Drosophila melanogaster: one gene and its partners. The protein of the gene in region 1 interacts with the protein of each later gene in a pairwise test. Each region holds a gene or a part of one and is shown on either strand. Other genes may lie near its edges. The genes, in order: Mst87F, Grx5, H2.0 and CG15370.

Region 1 (3,252 bases):
CAGTCAGCTGATGATGGTTTCGGATTGGCTGGAGTTGGCCAGAAATATGGCCAAAAAGGGGTGGGGGGGGGGGGGCGGTCATCTCCAGGGGGATCGGATCGGCGACTGGAGACGGCGGCATTCGGGTAAATTTAAATATATTTTTTATATGCACTTTGTTGACTTTTTGCGCTTCGCCGTCGTTTAATACCGCTCGGAATTCAGGAATCGGAATCCGCTGTGCCGAAACTAGTTCGTCGCAGAATTAGTGCAGTAAATATACACAAAAGTAAAATAAAAATAAAAATAAAAACAAAAACACAAGAACATGCATGACTGTGTGCGGGTTAAATATGTATGTACCTGCTTAAATAAGTTTTATTTAGCGTGTTCTATTGAAAGGACAATAAACTCTCGGCGAAACGTCAAGGTCGACCACATCGCATTAGAAGACTGCGGATCGATTCTAATTCAGGTCGCATTTGCGTCTAAACATCTGTATCTGTGTTCTAAAATCAGATATTTGGCTAAGCAAATTGCATTTGACTATTATCACTAATCAAAAACCAAACCTTCTTGAAGCTTACACCTCATATTTATTGTCTCAAATACCTATATTTGTGGTTCACGAATATTAGATGAATACGAGGATGAAATAGGGATAGGTTCTATCCTATCGTCTTGGTGTTCTGGTGAACCCTTCTTGGACATGGCCAGTTGCAACTGTCTAGCAGCAAGGGTATCCACAATAGCAGCCGCCACAGGGTCCACAGGCATAGCATGGTCCGCAGACATTCGGTCCATAGCAGGGTCCACATCCTCCTCCGCATGGTCCGCATGGACCACAGCAGGGTCCGCAGCAAGGTCCGCAGCAGGGTCCACAGGGTCCGCAGCACATGATTAATTCGTAAAAGTTCTGAAGGGAGAAAAGGTACGTTTAAATGATATGCCATAGGAATTTTTTACACATTTTCATTTTTGTAAATTTTCACTTATTTTCACTCACTTTGAACCGAACAAAAAGAAATAATTTGAGACTAGACGACAAATTTTGATGTGTTCAGGCCGAAAGGACAAATAATAATGATACAAAATCTGGTTACGCACAGGTATATCGGTTTGACAAGTCGGACTGAAGAGGCAAAGGATACTATATAAAATATTTTGTTTAAAGCATTGGCTAAAGCTTATAATGATTGTATTGTAAGTAGGGAAATGCTCAATCTTCATGTGAATTAACCTTTATATTTCGATCCTACCTATGTAGTTATCATCCAACTTGGTAGGAACGCATCAAGTTGCCACTATTTTTCCAGTGCACTGTAACATATAAACGAGGTAAATGAGATTTAAATTTTTGTTTTGTCGGATCATGTGTTCATTGCACCCGGCTGAAGTTCGAATCGCTGCCGGTTCTCAAGTCGAGTTCTGCGCTGCACTTTTGTTTACTCTTGATTTTGTCGTACTTTTTGATTAAGTGCATGGCGCATAGCCGATTGCCGATTGCCGAGAATCCGGGTATCGGGGCTGAACGGGTATACTATATATGCAAGTGTATATTAAGTTCATTATCTGACCGAAGACTTGTGTTGCTTATGTTTTTTATTTTGTTTTTTCTTGGTTTTTTTCCCCAGCCGAATCGAGCCAAGAATGTCGTCGCATTGAAAGAGGTCAATCACCAGCGATTGCGCCTTGGATGTCACTCGGTGTAATTGAGCGCAATTTATTTCATTTGCTAACGATTTTACGATTTCGGATTTAATTAACTCCCGAAAAGCAGGAAGCCTAGTGGACCAGTTGACAGAGCTCGCCAGCCTCCAAAATGGAACCCTAGTGTTATACACAATGATTATACAATGATTTGTATTTGTGCATGACTGAGTCAGCCGGAGCATTCGGGCAGAAAAGTATGGGTTGCAAATAAAAAGCGCATAATAGGCGTTTAAATGCAATTTTCTTCGCAAAATGGTCGGGCGAAATATCAAAAATTCGAATTATATGTTTTGCCGCATGTTGATTAGAATGTATGTATGTATTTGTGTGTGTGTCGATCAGCAGAGGCAGAAACCGAAGCAAAAACCCCGTCGTCAAACCGCACAGAAGTCCTCTCCCTTCTAGCAGAAATATTTGGGTAGAATCTCGCATCCGAGGAGACGGACAAGTCCAACTCAAAGTCGTTCTGTTTCGGCACGGTGAAAAATCACTATCATAGAAAAAATATATAGCGTAGTGACGAAAGGCGTCTCAAAGAAATGTGAACAAGAGTAGAGTAAGATATATTAAATACAAATCTAGCTTATATTACAAAGTGTCTAATATAAAGTGAATCAAACTTAGTTACATAAATCTAGTAGCGAACTTAGTGACGAAGCGCGTCTCAATCGAATCGGAAAGCGGTAGCAGATTTTAAATAATTATTTTCTTACCACCTAAATGTGGTTAAATGACTTTCATTGAATTTTTCTCTCTGTGGCTCTCTGGTTTTTTTTTTTCAAACTCGAGATGGATGGAACTCTGGTCAATAATTTTGTGAGGGTGCCGCCAAAAGGGCAGCAGACGCTGCTCTAACTTAGTTTTTTCGTTCATATTTGTGGCTGGCCTTTGTTTGAAATAGATTATTGGCAATACATATGTATACAAATATTTTGTATTTCGTCTGGCGACGGGAGTTCAAGGATTTTTATTGGGTTCAGTGAACCAAATGTCTTTCCTCCGGCCGGAAATATCGAATTCGCTTTAATTATGGCCCCTCGCATCAACTTATTAATATAAGTTTGATGAAAAGTGAAACACAATGGGCACACGCAGATGTCATCATCATCGGCTGGAAAGCGCTGAGTACTGCCAGTCAGCCCAGGGAAATCAATATCCGCCTATCCCTAAGTGTGCGCCATAATGACTTTAGGGGCGTGGCCGTCAATGGGGCCAAAGGTGAGGAGCGACCGAAAGGGTAAACGGCGGATTCAGGTAACCCGAGAAGCCGACGAAAGTGAAGAAAGCACGTGCCGCCCCCTAAAAAGTGGCAGCTGATCGCTAAAAAGGAAAAGTAAGGCGCAGTTCTGAAAGTCGGATATATGTACATACATACATAGTACTCTGATGTTAACTTAAATATTATTTAGATGTCTAAATCAAAGTTGAAGAATGCTGCAGCTCGTTTTCTTGCCGATCAATTTGAAGGTGCACAGAGGAAACCTGAGAATCCAATGGAAAGTGGTAATGGTAGTTCTGGGCACGTGCCGCCCCCCGAAAAAGGATTCAGCTGCCTTGAAA
Region 2 (3,289 bases), on another chromosome or scaffold:
AGCGGCCACTTGAAAATTGTAAACTGTGCTGGTGATTTTTATTAGTTTTATGGCGCTGCTGGGGGACTTTTGTGAGCAGCTCTCTATCAAAGTTCTAATAAAACACAAATAAGTTGCGAATAAAAAGTAGAGCAAGGGGGTGCGGCATGACGTAAGCAGCCATGTGTGCGTGTGTGTATGTGTGTGTGTGTGAGGGGGAGAGAGAGAAGGAGAGAGCGAGTACGTTAGAAGGAGAGCGAGAGATGGGGCGCGTCTTATCAATGAGCTCATCATTCTTGCACTGAGAAAAATCAGAACAAATTCCCAGCAACCACAACAACAACAAAAGAACACGGTGTGTATAAATACCAAACAACAAAAATAACCCGCACACACAGACACGCACACGCATACACACTAGAAAATTAACCCTTAGTGTGTGCGTGCATTCTGATTGGGGTGGCTGATTGGAGTTTCTAAATAAACAAAGTTTGTTATTGCCGCTTTGTTGTTGCTGTACCAATGTTTATTAGCAATTGTTTTTAGCTAGAACTCATGACTTAGACCGCGTTTAGCAAAAACCGGCTTTACACTAGATTATTCGTAAATCATCGAAATGCGAGCCGGGAAAAAAGTTTATCAGCATCCCACAGTTTGTTTTCCGTTTTTGTAGTTGTTGCTCTGCCACTGCAACTTCCAACTAGTTTTTCATTCACTCACTGGCACAGTAAAAAAAAAATTCAAAAAATATTTCGACTTTAATTGATCGCGTCGACGCAGTAAATTAATTCCTGATTTTCAATTAAAACGAATCAATTGACGAAATTTTTACCGTTCTTAAGAACCGAGTCCCTTTACGCTGGAGATGGAAAAACGCCGATTGTTTGCTTGCATCGATGCTGTCGCTTCAAAAAGTAAGATTATCGATTGTTAGCGATGTGTCGAACATCTCGACGATATTTTAACTATTTATAGTTTCAATTCGAATATATTTCAAGAAAATAAAATTAAAACGAATAATTCACTAGGTTTTTAATCAATGTTTTTATTCGCTTTCACACTTAATAATTTAACCAATAGTATTGTGCACCCCTCGTCACGTCCAGTCGATATGTATTGCATAGAATTAGCCAGTCTGGTTATCGATAACTAGTCCAACTGGAGTCTCGGATGTAAACAAAACTGAAATAAAAAACAAAAACAAGAGAGTGAATTTAACAATGTCGCGCGGCAACGAATTGGTATTCAAAGCGAAGAAAACATCAGAGAAGATATCGGAGAACATACACATATTCGCCAACGATCCATCGCTGGCGTTTTTCCGTGTGCAGGAGCACGTTCGCAAGGTTACCCCAGCGATTTTCGAGAAACGCGATGAAGTCTTTCAGCTGCAAAATAATCTCCAGGGACATTGCTATGATATGGAATACGGCATACAGTAGGATCAACTACTAAATAATAAAATAATATATAATTGAATCTATTTAACCGCAGAGCGCTGCGAACGATTGAAAAATCGGAGAGCATATTTGAGAACATCCAGGAAATGATCAAGGCTTCAATATTCCTCAAGCAGCAGCTAAAGTACGAGGAGAGCAGAAAGAAAGTGAAGAAGGATAGCACCAAATCTTCCGTCTACAAGCGATTCTCCGCCCATCTGGCACTGGATCTCCCGGATTTACCCGATTTCGGTGGCGTTATGCGGGAAACTAGCCAGCGAATGGAGAATATGATAGGTCCTGGCACGGCAACAGGACGTACTGAGGCCCAGGCCGCGACATCCAGTAATCCTGGCGAGCTCCAACGATCCTATACGACACTCCACTAGATTAAGTAGGTTCTAGCATTGTACTCATAGCTATGTATGCATTATTATTCTAAAATACATTTATTTTAATTGTAAGACATGTACTTTTATCATAACTGACTACTCCTGCTTTATAGTTTCTATAATATGCATAAAAAAAAGTATTAAAATATTATGAAAATTCTTGAAATGCTTATAATCGAAAACCGTTCGATAGTCGATAGGCCGTTCAGTCGCCACTCGAGCGAGCTATCGATACCTTTTTAGCTGACACTTGAACAGCACTTGTTTTATTAGATAATATTGCTAATATTATTATTACCTCGACCAAGTCGCTGCCGTCAAGATGAACCGAATTTGCCAGAGTCTCCGCCATCCGAGATACCAGATTCTCGCCACCACAGCACCGCAATCCCTGCTCACCCGCTTTCTTGCGGCGGATGCGGCCACCGGCGCGGCAGTGGACAAGGCGACAATGGACAAGCTGGTGCGCACCAACAAGGTGGTCGTCTTCATGAAGGGCAACCCACAGGCGCCACGCTGCGGCTTCAGCAATGCGGTGGTGCAGATTATGCGGATGCACGGTGTCCAGTACGATGCCCACGATGTGCTGCAAAACGAGTCCCTGCGACAGGGTGAGTACGCTCCACATATGCATTAGCGTGCCAGCGTTAAACCTTATTGCTTGCGTGCAGGTGTCAAGGACTACACCGACTGGCCGACCATTCCGCAGGTGTTCATCAATGGCGAATTTGTCGGCGGTTGCGACATCCTGCTGCAGATGCACCAGAGCGGCGATCTCATCGAGGAGCTCAAGAAGGCGGGCATCATTTCGGAGCTGCTGAAAGCGGAGGAGGCTAAGCAGCAGGACGACAAGGCTAAGTGATGATTCAAAAAGAGCGCCCAAAGATCAAATTCCCTTCCTAAATCTGTTAGTCACGCAACGTTTTTATTATTAAATGTTTAACTCATAACGACAATGGTGTGCGTTGTTCCGTGTGATTTAAATGGCAGCCAATGGCATATAATCGCAGGCGCTCATTTATGATTGTGATTAAGATATAGCAGGCTTTGTAAAAGTACCATTATAATGTAAGCAAGCATTCTATAGGATGAATTCAGTTGCGCGTCCTGCGCCTCTCGTCGATTTGCTGCAGGAGGCATAGGATTCGACTGCGTGCCTGCAGAGCATCGTCCACCTGCAAGAGGGAAAAGCACTGTTGTCGATGCTGCGGATTAGTCATATTCACCAGGATCTCCATCAGGTTGTCGGCTATGGAGTGGCGCATCGTTTCCTCCGATGGCATTGGTGGAATCACGCGACTTGGACGAGTTGGAGTCGATTGAGCGGGATTTCTAAGTGGCAACTGATTCCCGACGTACTGCTCTTCATTGGGATACTCATCAGTTTGCTTTTCCAGATCCTTTGGTACCTGATTTTCCATCTCAATATCTTGGTTCTCATTTAGAAGCATTTTCTGATTAATCTTTAAATATTCTGAA
Region 3 (7,990 bases), on another chromosome or scaffold:
ACCTCACTCTGCTGCTTGGTCTCCGTCGCCGTTTGCAGCTCCTTCCTGTAAAGCGCTCGTATGCCGCGGCCCAGGTGGCGGATGTGCTCGAAGTTGCGAACGTTGAGCGCAACCAGAGCAACTGCGTCCAGATTCAGCAGCTTGTGTCCATCAATGTAGTTCTCCCGAAAAGTTTGCTGTAACGAAGCTATAGGTTACCCAACATAGTGAGTAAGAATCTTAGCCCACCTCGTACTCGGGATAACCAAAGTTGCGCAGCCAGTCGGTCACATCGTTGATGCTCCACTTGAAGACCTCAGTGCGGGCTTGGGAATCCACGACGGCGGCGCAGAGATTGAAGAGCGAGTCCGGCGAGGCCTTGAAGGGTAGCGGCACATCCTCCTTGTCGTACTCCACGTCCGGAAACATGTAGCTGGGATAGCGAAAGCAGAACTCCTGCTCATCCTGCGGCGGCTCACAGATATCCGGACTGTCCATGCCACTGGCACTGTGCGGCAGTGGTGACGGTATGGTGGAGCACCTGGACGCTGAGAACGACTCCATTCGAGTGGTGGCAGCGCACTGTTCCTGGGCCAAAGTGAATTGAGTTGCCCCGCAACGATTTGGTTGCGGTTTCCAGCGATTCCTCAAGAATAAGTGGCGTTCGTGTCTGTTTACATAGTTTGATTGCGTTTCGCTTTCATTTGTTGTATGCCCTATAATTTTCCGGGAAAAGTTGTTGGCTACAATCACTAAGGCTCAATTTGCACTTTAAATGGGTTAATGGAATTTAAGCCATGCTCTTTCCAATCAGTATCTTTGAACGTTCGGCATATCCTGGAATGTATCTGAATCTTTTTTTTTAAGTAAAAAGGATTATTTTATTATTAATCGGACTTCACTTTGAAGAGGATAAAAGTGTCACCGACTGGCGATGGATTTTCCGCTGCCATTGCATTTGCATATTCCACATTTTCTGGGTCACTTTGTGGGCTTGTGGTGCTAGGGTGTTTTTGGCACCAAATCCGCCCGCTTGGATGGGAGTTTTGTGCCGGAAAGTATGCTATCTTAAGGTAGTCACGACAATTTTCCTATTAATAACGCCAGTTTCGCTCCGCAATTTACACATTTCTACTTAAGTTTTCCAACCCCGACGATCCGTTCGTGTTCCGTTTTGCGGATTTCCGCTTGTGGAATGCGGTTTCTGATTTATGACCACCAGTCCCGGTTACCCACTTCATTGAACCCAGACAGCGTGGAGCAGGTGGAGTTCGCGCAGATCGCTCAATCCCAAGCCAATGGAAGGCACATTCCTTGGGCGCGAAAGCGAGATGCCGCATCAGCGCCACCAGTGGCTCCGCCCACCACTGCGGATCGATCGCATTGGCCAGAAATCACGAACCACGAGCCACTCGACATGGCCTCTGCGCAGGGAAACCGGAATTCGGATGGGGTGTGTGTGTCTGTGTGTGGGAGTACGGGAACATATGGAGAAATCGGTAAACAAATCTCGGCTGCGCTCGAGGAAACGATCTCCGACTGAGCTAATGACACAGCGGCATGCTTGTGTGTAAACAAGCGATCGGCATGGCAAGGTATCCCATCTGTGTGTGGCTACAGTGGGATCAGGTCTATGGTAAGTGGATTAACATAATTTTAGGGCACTTTCTAGAGGTATATAGATCTTCAGCGGAATAGAAACCAATGTTACCACCAACCGAAGCCCAAAAATCTAATCTTTCTTGATAGTATTACTCTTCTTGAGTATTACTTTATAAACAATATACACGTTGGATAAAAAAATATCCTGGTTTGTATATCCTGTATATCGAACATATAGCCATTATTTATTGTTAGCATTATATCCTGATCATCTCGCACTCCTTGCCCCACTGTCAGCACCAGGAATACACAATCTCAGCGAGATTAACCCCACCGCCAACAGACTGTTCCGCGTTGGCTGGCCGATCGGCAATCGATGGCTGGTTGAGCGTGCTCCCTGGCCGGTTCCGATCAGTTCTGAGTGGGATGTCTTGCAAGGCGGTTTAATCGGAGGTGCACGAGACCTAAGCCAAAATTCGCGATCGTTTTATTGGTGCACAGCGACGGTGTTTTGGACATGATAGATAGTCCCTATCGATTGTGAACGTGTGAAATCAGTTTTGAGTGTCCTGTGTCGAGATTCGTAGATAGAAACCATATACAACACATATCCGGACAATGTTACTACACGAGAGTGCCGCCAGCATGGAACAGAGTATGCCCGAGAACCTCAGCACTCACATGTACGGCGAGTGTGAAGTGAATCCAACGCTGGCAAAGTGTCCCGATCCAGTGAATGTCGATCATGAGCTGCCCACCAAAGAATCCTGTGCCTCGACTACCATAGTCAGTACGTCGCCAACCAGCGCCACGAGCACCACCAAAGTCAAGCTGAGCTTCAGTGTGGATCGTCTGTTGGGCTCGGAACCCGAGGAATCCCACCGGCAGAGCTCCTCCTCGCCCTCGACCAAGTCATGCTGCGATGGCAGCATTCTAGCCTGCTGCTCCTTCCCCCACTGCTTCAGCCAGGCGAATGCCGAATCCCGTAGGTTTGGACATGCCACGCTTCCGCCCACTTTCACACCCACTTCATCGCACACGTACCCCTTCGTGGGTCTGGATAAGCTGTTCCCTGGCCCCTATATGGATTACAAATCAGTGCTCAGACCGACGCCAATTCGGGCAGCAGAACACGGTAAGGATGCACTATACTCAAAAGGGAACATCCTTTGAATCCGAGCAGGTTTTACAAAAAAAATGTCCATTTGAAAGTAAATCATTCAAAATTACCATTAAGTGCACGGCATTTGGAACATCATGAGCAAACCGAGTTGATAGAAGGAAAACATTTAATCTCTGTAAGGGATGCCTTAAATTAATATGAACTATATTGGTACTGATCCGTATTACATGGATTATAGGTACCTAAGTGTATTTTTAAGATACTTTTAAACTTAAAAGGAATCAGCTCCATACAGAAAGCTATTGAAACATCATTCGTTCGCAGTGAACCTCTTCTAGTTCCAACAACGTACCACTTATCAAAATAATATTTTATACCCATGACTCTATCTTGTAGATACGATCTATCATCTGCACTATTTCAATCTCCCCGTATGTTGTGTGCACTTGCAGCGCCAATAAAACTGATCAAAGCTAATCAGATATTGCGATTTGTCAATCATTCTGCATTCTTTCCATGGAAATATGCAGGATCTCAGGGAACGATCAAACGAGTTGATGAGGTGGCTTCGCCATTTGCCCATCAAAATTCCTTAGCTATTTCGCTCTGTTTTTCAATTATGGACTATAATTATTAGCCATGTTGAGATTTGCAGAGAAAATCGTGAAATGGAATTTAGCCAAATGGGAAATGAACATTCCTGGAAACACAAAGAGTGAGAACCTAAGGCGCAGCCCCAATAAATTTCACGTTTTTATTTGAATTATTAGTTGATCTGCAGCCATATTGTGCAATATTCCTGCGGCCAAATGTTCCGCGCCTTTGGCTCTTGACGAAAACAATTCGATTTTTGAAATCGACAACAAAATAGTCCGGATTGTTTTGGGTATTTGCCGTACTTCCTGCTGTTTTTGTATATCTGGGGACGAAGACTTCTTATAAAGCCTGCAGGCTGCCAGCGCACTTTGATCTTGTTTATGTGAAAATGGAAATGGAAATGGAAATAGTGAGAGCAACATAATCGGTAAATGTTTCGCTTTTCGAATAGAAATTGTTCATTGTTTAACAAGCTGCTTGAGTTTTATACATATCGTCAGCACAGCCTTTTCCCATTCAATATTGTACACAATTCTTATCAAGTGGGTGCTAACAATGCGAGGGCCTTAAACGATCTTAAAGATCTTTTGCGGATAAATGAGATACATATTTGGTTTGGGATTCCTCAATGGATAAATTGATTAGGAAATGTCTGAGATATTAATTTATTTCAAAATAAGAGACCCGCAAATATGTGGAGCTATACTAAAATGATGTGTAAATGGTATTAGCGAGCTTAACTTAAAGCTTACTATAGTTTAGACCTAGTTACAAGTAGCAAAATACAATTTTTTAACAGCCGACTAAAACATATTCAAAAAAGACTTTGGTTGATTCATCCAACGTAAATTCGATACTAATAGCCCTTTAAATTCCGCCAAATTCCAGCACACGATTAAATTATGTAGCAAAATTAGCGCCAAACTTAAATAAATTACACTTCACACAATGATGGAACATTAATGAAAATTATCATCAGTGCTAAGTGGTTTTCAAACACATTTGCTCAGCCAAAAATGGGAGGAGCAATTAGTAAGGCGAATAAATTCGACATAGCTCAATCAACAAAAGATCGGTAAAAAAAAAACGAAGAACAGACAGCACCTGAAAGGCTTCATCAATCCTTTGGGCACCGCAAATAGATGAGATGCCAAAGACCAAAGTGGAAAATTAAGAACAATTTATGAACAAATTACGAGTCAGTCTTTAAAAATAAACTTCAAGCTCACACGGATCGTGGAAAACGTTTGTGGCGAACAGTTTGTTTATTTGCTTGGGCAATTGGCCCGTCATTCATGGGCAGATACAGATAGCTATCCATCTAATTGCCCGCTCTCTAATGAATTGTTCCGCCGGCCGAGGAGTTCGACAGGTGGAGGCATCTTTGGCCCGGCTAGAGACGCGGATCTCTGATAGATTGGGCGCCACGGTTCCAACTACTGCGGCTCAACCGACTCCAATGAGGCTCGGCTGCCGTTTAGGCCAACGACAGGGAACTGCTGACCGATGGATGACTGTACCGGGTATGGGTACGGGCACGGGCACGGGTGAAACTATGCGCTGTTCTTTGGGGGCCGAGCCAAAAGGCCAAGTATTTACACAACCACCCACTGTGGTGGCCTTTTCAGGAGGAGGCTACCCTGTGGCTGCCCGCCGTGTCCAACCTGCCGGCCCCTGCGGAATTATTCCGTGATGGATTGATTGCATCGCATCGCACATCATAAAATCATGGACCAGCGAGATCTCTGCGGCTCCTCCGTCGACTATTTGTTGCTGTTTGCCTGTCCCGCCTGGCGATGAGTAGTTTGTTGATCTGTTGTTGTTGCTCTTCTGGCTGCCGATCAATCGATCCATCCATCGATCGATTGGATGCTACAGACCATTGTCTGATATGGAAATTCTGTCTGAACAATAATCCGGCGCCGTGGGTCTAATTAATTAGCAATTTATATGTTAATCCAACTGATAGATGCACTTTCAAAGCGTTCGAAGATCCCTGATTAATGATGGCCCTCAGACGATTTCTTTTGGAACTTTGAAGACTCTTTCTCAAGTTCCCAACAGCAGGGGAGGGTTGTAGCAATAATAATTACCACGCACTCAACTCAAATTAACGGGACTGATATATGTATGTAGATACCACAACTATAGGATTAACTATAATGAATTGAGTGAAAATTGACGACAATCCCAAGTAGCTAAAGATATTTCACGAAATATACAATTGAAATATTAGCTATACTTTTGATTTCACTTAAATATTTTGAAAGTACATAATGCAGATAATATATCTTAGTGCATAGTTAGCTGGTAAAAGTCAGAGATTCGGATGTTCGGAAGTAGATACATATGTATAATATATTAAAATCAATCAAATAAACACATACTCCGCTTGTCGAGCTGGTAGTCGAAATTTCCATAGCACATGGCCCACTGGGAGTGCTCTGCTTAACCCCAAAAGATCATTCGCAATTTACCGCGAAATAAGCCACAATATTCGCCAAGTCGTAAATGTGGAATGCATCGTGCTAATAAATCGATGCAACTTAAATATGGCTGCGAAATGTACGATTCGCAAACACATCCTACTGGAGATGCATCTGCAACCCAGACCCTTGAGTGATTTAAGATGGCATCCGAAAAATTATCACAACTCATTAAGATATTTACGGGTCCGCTGGCGGTATTTTGTAAATGTATCTGAACGGGAAAGTCGGCAATTAATGATCTCGCGCTGTGAGTGAACCCCAATGCCCCGGCCAACATCCAAGGTGTTGAAAGTCGGTGAAAACTCATTATAACAAACCCCCGATGGTTGACACAAGCCAAATGCCAAAACGGCCAATTAAGGCGTTATTAGCCCCTGCAGATGTGCTGAGATTCCATTGGCGTTCCCGATGCAGATACACAAGCGCACGGATTGAGATACAATTGTATCCACAAGTGCAGAAGCGCATTTCCGCTGCAGTGTAAATACACACAATCGATCGAGTAGTGTGTTGCTTAAGTAAATAAAACGCTCGATCTCGAAAACAATTAGGCGCATGCCGCGAGCACACAAACAAATCGAATTCCACATAGCACAACGTTAAAAAGGCAATAAAAAATACCTATGATAATTTAGCGTTGGCTACAAACAAAGAGGAATGGTTTGCAGTTTGAAATCAAATAAAATTCAATGAAAAAGTCAAGGATAGGAATTAAAATTGTGGCCTTTTAACAACATCAGGATTACATTTCATATCAACATTAGTGAACATTATCGTGAACTGAGGATTCAAAGGAACTTTTTGTAGCATACTTTTCAGCGGAGTCCTTTGAGTTGATAAATGCCGTAATGATCTTGATTGAAACTCAGTAGTTAGATAAAGGATAGTAAATGCCAATAATGATTGGAAATACAATAGGAAAGTCAACGTCATTCGAATTGTTTCTTACTGCGTGTATAAATTCTTGGATATTTAAAAAACATTTAAGGGAAGTAAAGCACCCTGGTTCGACCTCAACCTCGTGTGCCCCATGTCGTGTTCGATTACCCCAAATAATTTTGGATCTCTAGAGGTAATTGTTGTTGTTTAGATTCGCGCTAGAAGTAAACAAATTTCGTTTGCCCCCCCTAGCCACAAAACGCTTCAATGATAATTTCCAATTAAGTGAAAATTTTATTATAAACAAGCCCATTTAAAAATTCTCAACATGCATTTTATTGATCAAAATAATTTACTCAGAAAACACAAAAAATTGAATTTCATATTTTCTTTGGCGAAACAAGTATCATTTCTTTGGCCGGCGATAAATGTATTATTTCCTGCGGATGCAATGTGCTACCAAGGGAGGATGTTGTCCATAACTAATGGTAGTTTTCCTATAAAAATAAATATCCAAATTGGTGCGTAAAAAACGCACCGGATTCAGTATAGCAACAAATTAAGAGTTATTGCTAATGAAGGAAGTATGAATCTCCCAATTGACTTTAACATTCCATTCCCGAACAGCCGCACCCACTTATCCCACGCTGGCTACCAATGCGCTCCTCCGCTTCCATCAACATCAGAAGCAGCAGCACCAGCAGCATCATCATCATCAGCACCATCCCAAACACCTCCATCAGCAGCACAAGCCCCCGCCACACAACTCGACGACAGCCTCGGCGCTACTGGCGCCGCTCCACAGCCTCACGAGCCTCCAGCTGACGCAACAGCAGCAGCGATTTCTGGGCAAGACGCCGCAGCAGCTCCTGGACATAGCGCCCACCTCGCCCGCCGCCGCCGCCGCTGCCACATCCCAGAACGGTGCACATGGACATGGAGGTGGCAATGGCCAGGGCAACGCCTCAGCCGGAAGCAATGGGAAGCGCAAGCGATCCTGGTCTCGCGCCGTCTTCTCGAATCTGCAGCGCAAGGGCCTGGAGATTCAGTTCCAGCAGCAGAAGTACATCACCAAGCCAGATCGCCGCAAGCTGGCGGCACGACTGAATCTCACCGACGCTCAGGTTAGTTAAAAGATGGGATTTTCATAGTTTAACATTTGCACATTCGACTCCTTTCATAGCTCTATAAAAACCAATATATTATTATTTTTATACCCTGATTAGGTCAAGGTGTGGTTCCAGAACCGTCGCATGAAGTGGCGGCACACGCGCGAGAATCTGAAGAGTGGCCAGGAGAAGCAGCCGAGTGCAGTACCCGA
Region 4 (3,393 bases), on another chromosome or scaffold:
GAACGCTTTTTGCCTCATTGTGTTACCCCTTTTCTTTGCGTATACGTAATATGAGTGCTGGAAATATCCGGCATACCCCGATGCTACCCCCTCTTTCGACCAACAAACTGACCATGAATATTTTCGCTTTTGTTTGCCGACCATATAAACACGTTTTCGATTGTTTCGCCGTTTTCTTTTCTTTCCATTTATTGCCTTTTTAACTGGGTTGGATTTTGCATTCCCCGATTTTCTGCTTAATTTTCACGCCAAATGAAAAGCGTGAGAACCGCGAACATACATAATATTCATTAGCGAATTATAGATTGGGTTTGGTTTTCAGTTCTAAATTTTCAGACTTCGCAAATTAAATGCGAATAAATAAATATTTAAGCAATCAATCCAGATGCCACTTGCATATTAATTGTATTGTTTTTCGTTGTATTTTGTTTGCCATCTGAGAGAGAAAGAGAGATTTCCAAGTGGCCTACAATCGCGATGATAATGATACTGAAAATGATGATCGTGATAATGATGTCGCAGAGCAACTTTCTCAGTTTATTTTTTTTCCCCCTATTAGCATCACAATTAAATGTTTTTTATTAATTTCGTAGCGCGAAACTGAAAATTAGTATTGGCGATATGCGCCGATATTATATAAGTGAGAATATCGATTAGGTATGAATGAACACGGTAATTTCCCCGATAATTTCGATAGCTGCGAACAGATCAGGTCGCTTTCATTATTCAATTTGTATTAACTTTCGTTCGTTGTTGTCGTCTGGCTGGCGGCTAGAAAAATGTATGCATCGCATTTCAATAATAATGAAAACAAAAGTTAAAACAAATAAAACAACCGCTAGTTTCGGTGCGATGGAGAAAGGGCGAGGAGGGGGGCTAGTGTGGATAGAGCGGGATAGTGAGATTCCGTCGAACGGTGATTGCAAGAAAATGACATTTTACAGTTGCCCCCAAACACCCTACACTCACCTGCGTTTTGGAGCATCTCGGTTTTATGACACCGTTGGCAGCGCTCCATCGAAAAACCTAGAACTACAAAGTATTACTCATACATTCGCGAATTAATAATCCTTTTTATATCATACATTATGATATCCTTATTATATAAGGCATTATTGTTAATAATTATATAAAAATATGGAATATTATGATCACTCTTTTCTTTAGGATATCAGTACTAGGGTCCAGTGCAGAGACGTCAGAAACTGATAAAAATTCGAAGATATTTATTAATTTTTTTTAGAAAGAAACGCATGATGCAGAGTGGGAGATTCCACGCTGCGTAACAGAATGGAAACTTTATATTAATTTTATCAATTTACAAGAACTCATGCAGATAGCTTGTATGCAAGTTCTTTAAAGATTAACAAATTAATCGGAGAATAAAAATATTAGTAACATAATGAATAAGGTAATAATGGCAAAAAGAAATCCATTATTAATTTGCTAAAAGAAAGGTATACACGCACAAAGGGCATTTGAAGGTCGGCGCAGGGCAAGGTGTCATCCATTTCACCCGAGGGCTCCGTAGGTCAAGATGCTTGTCGTCGCCAGCATTGGCTGTTGTATATAAATTTTGACAAAAGAAAGACTTCGGTTTAAACCAATTTTGGCAAGGCGGCGACCATAAGGTGATGACCACTCGACGCGACGACATGGCATGGATTAGCGGCCGTTCCCACCTGCTGGTGCCTGTGATCTTGGTGCTGTTAATACCGTTGGTCGCGGGCTTCGGCAACGAGTATGTCCACATCAAGGTGCATGTGCCCAAAGAGGAGTCAGCGGCGGAGGAGTCGCCACACAAGGTGATCCACCACTACCACCACCATCCGCATCCGCATCAGTTATACCGCAATCGGGGACGAGCCCGTCCCAAGCCCAGTCCACTGCTGGAGAGCGTAATCCTCTCGGATCTGGACAAGCCGCTGCACATGAGCGAGCATGCGGACTATCTGAATCACGCCAAGGAGCTGGCCGACCACCTCACGGAGACGTATGCCAAAAAGGCAGCTCCTCCGCCGCCGCCGCCGCCCAAGAAGAAGGTCAACACTTATACGATCATTGAGGAGCAGCACAGACCACATGGCTACGACTACGAGGATCACCATGAGCCCAGTGTGGAGACTTATCGAGTGATTGAATCGCGACCCAAGCAGCAGCACCATCATCACACTCATACTCACCATCCGGTTGAGGAGGAGGAGGTGGACGACGATTATGGATATCACTATCCGAGCGGGGGAAATCATCATCATCATCATCATCATCAGACTGGCGCCTATGCGGAACCCGCACCAGTGGAGGAGCACATCGACCAGGAGCCGGATACGGGCTATAAGTATTCGCCACACAGTCACGCCTACATCCCGCCCAGCCACGGTCAGGCCCAGCGGAGCTCCAAGCAAACCAGAGCGCCAGCGTACACTCTCGAAGCTCCGCAGGAATCCTCCTTCGGATACGATTACTCGCGACCCTCGGCCGGAAGTAGCACTGACTTCCGGCCATCCGTCCAGGTGCCATCCAGTGACCCGTACGGCGAGGAGGAACCGGCGGACACCTATGGACCACCGCTTACGGCCACAAGGCGTCGCCGGCCATCGCAATCCCTGGTGGATTGGCCCGAGTCCAAGGGATTCAACAGTGCCGCGTCCGAAACATACAGTGGCGTCGATAGCTACAACGTGGGTCATGTTCAGGGCTATGGATCCAGTAGCTATCACCAGTACAGTGGTGGGCCCTATCTGTAGGCGTTCCAACACCCCGTCTAATCTAAGATCTATTTATTGCACTTTTTTTTTCCTAGCTTCGTAAGTCGATAGTCAGTTTTCAGATTTAAGCGATAAATAAATAAATGTTTGTAAACACTTAAAGAAATGTTATTCAATTTCTAGGAATCAAGTTGTTAGAAGTAATAAACAAAAGGTTAACTTATTTGTTTATTTATTTATTTGTTTCAACTCAATCCTAGCAGTTGGAAAGCACCAAGACCACTTGAAAATTATAATGTAATAAAAACGCAAATTTGAATAGTTGAAGTAATAAAAAAAAGAGACTGTCTAATTAGTATGCATATTATGATCTTGAATTCTCAAATTAGTTTATTTAAACACTAAAATCTAATATTCTAATGGTGCAAGAGTAAAATGCACTCATTTTTGTTATTGACTTCAACTTTGGATACCAACCGGTTCACTTGGCAATGGGAATTTAAGTATACTACTTAGTGCAATTATCCTAAGTCTTGATTCTATCTATAAAACGTATAATATATTTACATTCTGATTATTTATTATTATTTCAAATACGGAAATCGTGTTTGGTACATTCATACATGGACTACTGTTCTCAGTGTTTTTGAGGAAGTCAGTTAGGCTAATGGATTTCTCAGTTGTT

The links.
Region 2: the proteins of Mst87F (region 1) and Grx5 interact in a two-hybrid assay, tested with the Drosophila melanogaster proteins (one large-scale study listed by BioGRID).
Region 3: the proteins of Mst87F (region 1) and H2.0 interact in a two-hybrid assay, tested with the Drosophila melanogaster proteins (one large-scale study listed by BioGRID).
Region 4: the proteins of Mst87F (region 1) and CG15370 interact in a two-hybrid assay, tested with the Drosophila melanogaster proteins (one large-scale study listed by BioGRID).

The regions. Positions count from the first base shown.
Region 1 is NT_033777.3:13,826,594-13,829,845, forward strand, and holds Mst87F (Male-specific RNA 87F), read right to left. Parts: upstream 1,416-3,252; 5' UTR 1,239-1,415; intron 1,094-1,238; exon of another isoform or gene 986-1,093; intron 896-985; 5' UTR 878-895; coding exon 707-877; 3' UTR 558-706; downstream 1-557.
Region 2 is NC_004354.4:14,836,946-14,840,234, reverse strand, and holds Grx5 (glutaredoxin 5), read left to right. Parts: upstream 1-2,036; 5' UTR 2,037-2,132; coding exon 2,133-2,421; intron 2,422-2,481; coding exon 2,482-2,672; 3' UTR 2,673-2,764; downstream 2,765-3,289. Other genes in the region: CG32590 (uncharacterized protein), read left to right, coding at 1,200-1,417, 1,474-1,807; CG14410 (uncharacterized protein), read right to left, coding at 2,905-3,289.
Region 3 is NT_033779.5:6,013,403-6,021,392, reverse strand, and holds the start of H2.0 (homeodomain protein 2.0), read left to right. Parts: upstream 1-1,990; 5' UTR 1,991-2,199; coding exon 2,200-2,716; intron 2,717-7,296; coding exon 7,297-7,793; intron 7,794-7,895; coding exon 7,896-7,990. Other genes in the region: CG13996 (uncharacterized protein), read right to left, coding at 1-176, 229-543. UniProt on the Drosophila melanogaster protein: May play a role in pattern formation during embryonic and imaginal development. Is not essential for visceral muscle morphogenesis.
Region 4 is NC_004354.4:9,223,822-9,227,214, forward strand, and holds CG15370 (uncharacterized protein), read left to right. Parts: upstream 1-1,615; 5' UTR 1,616-1,634; coding exon 1,635-2,747; 3' UTR 2,748-2,867; downstream 2,868-3,393.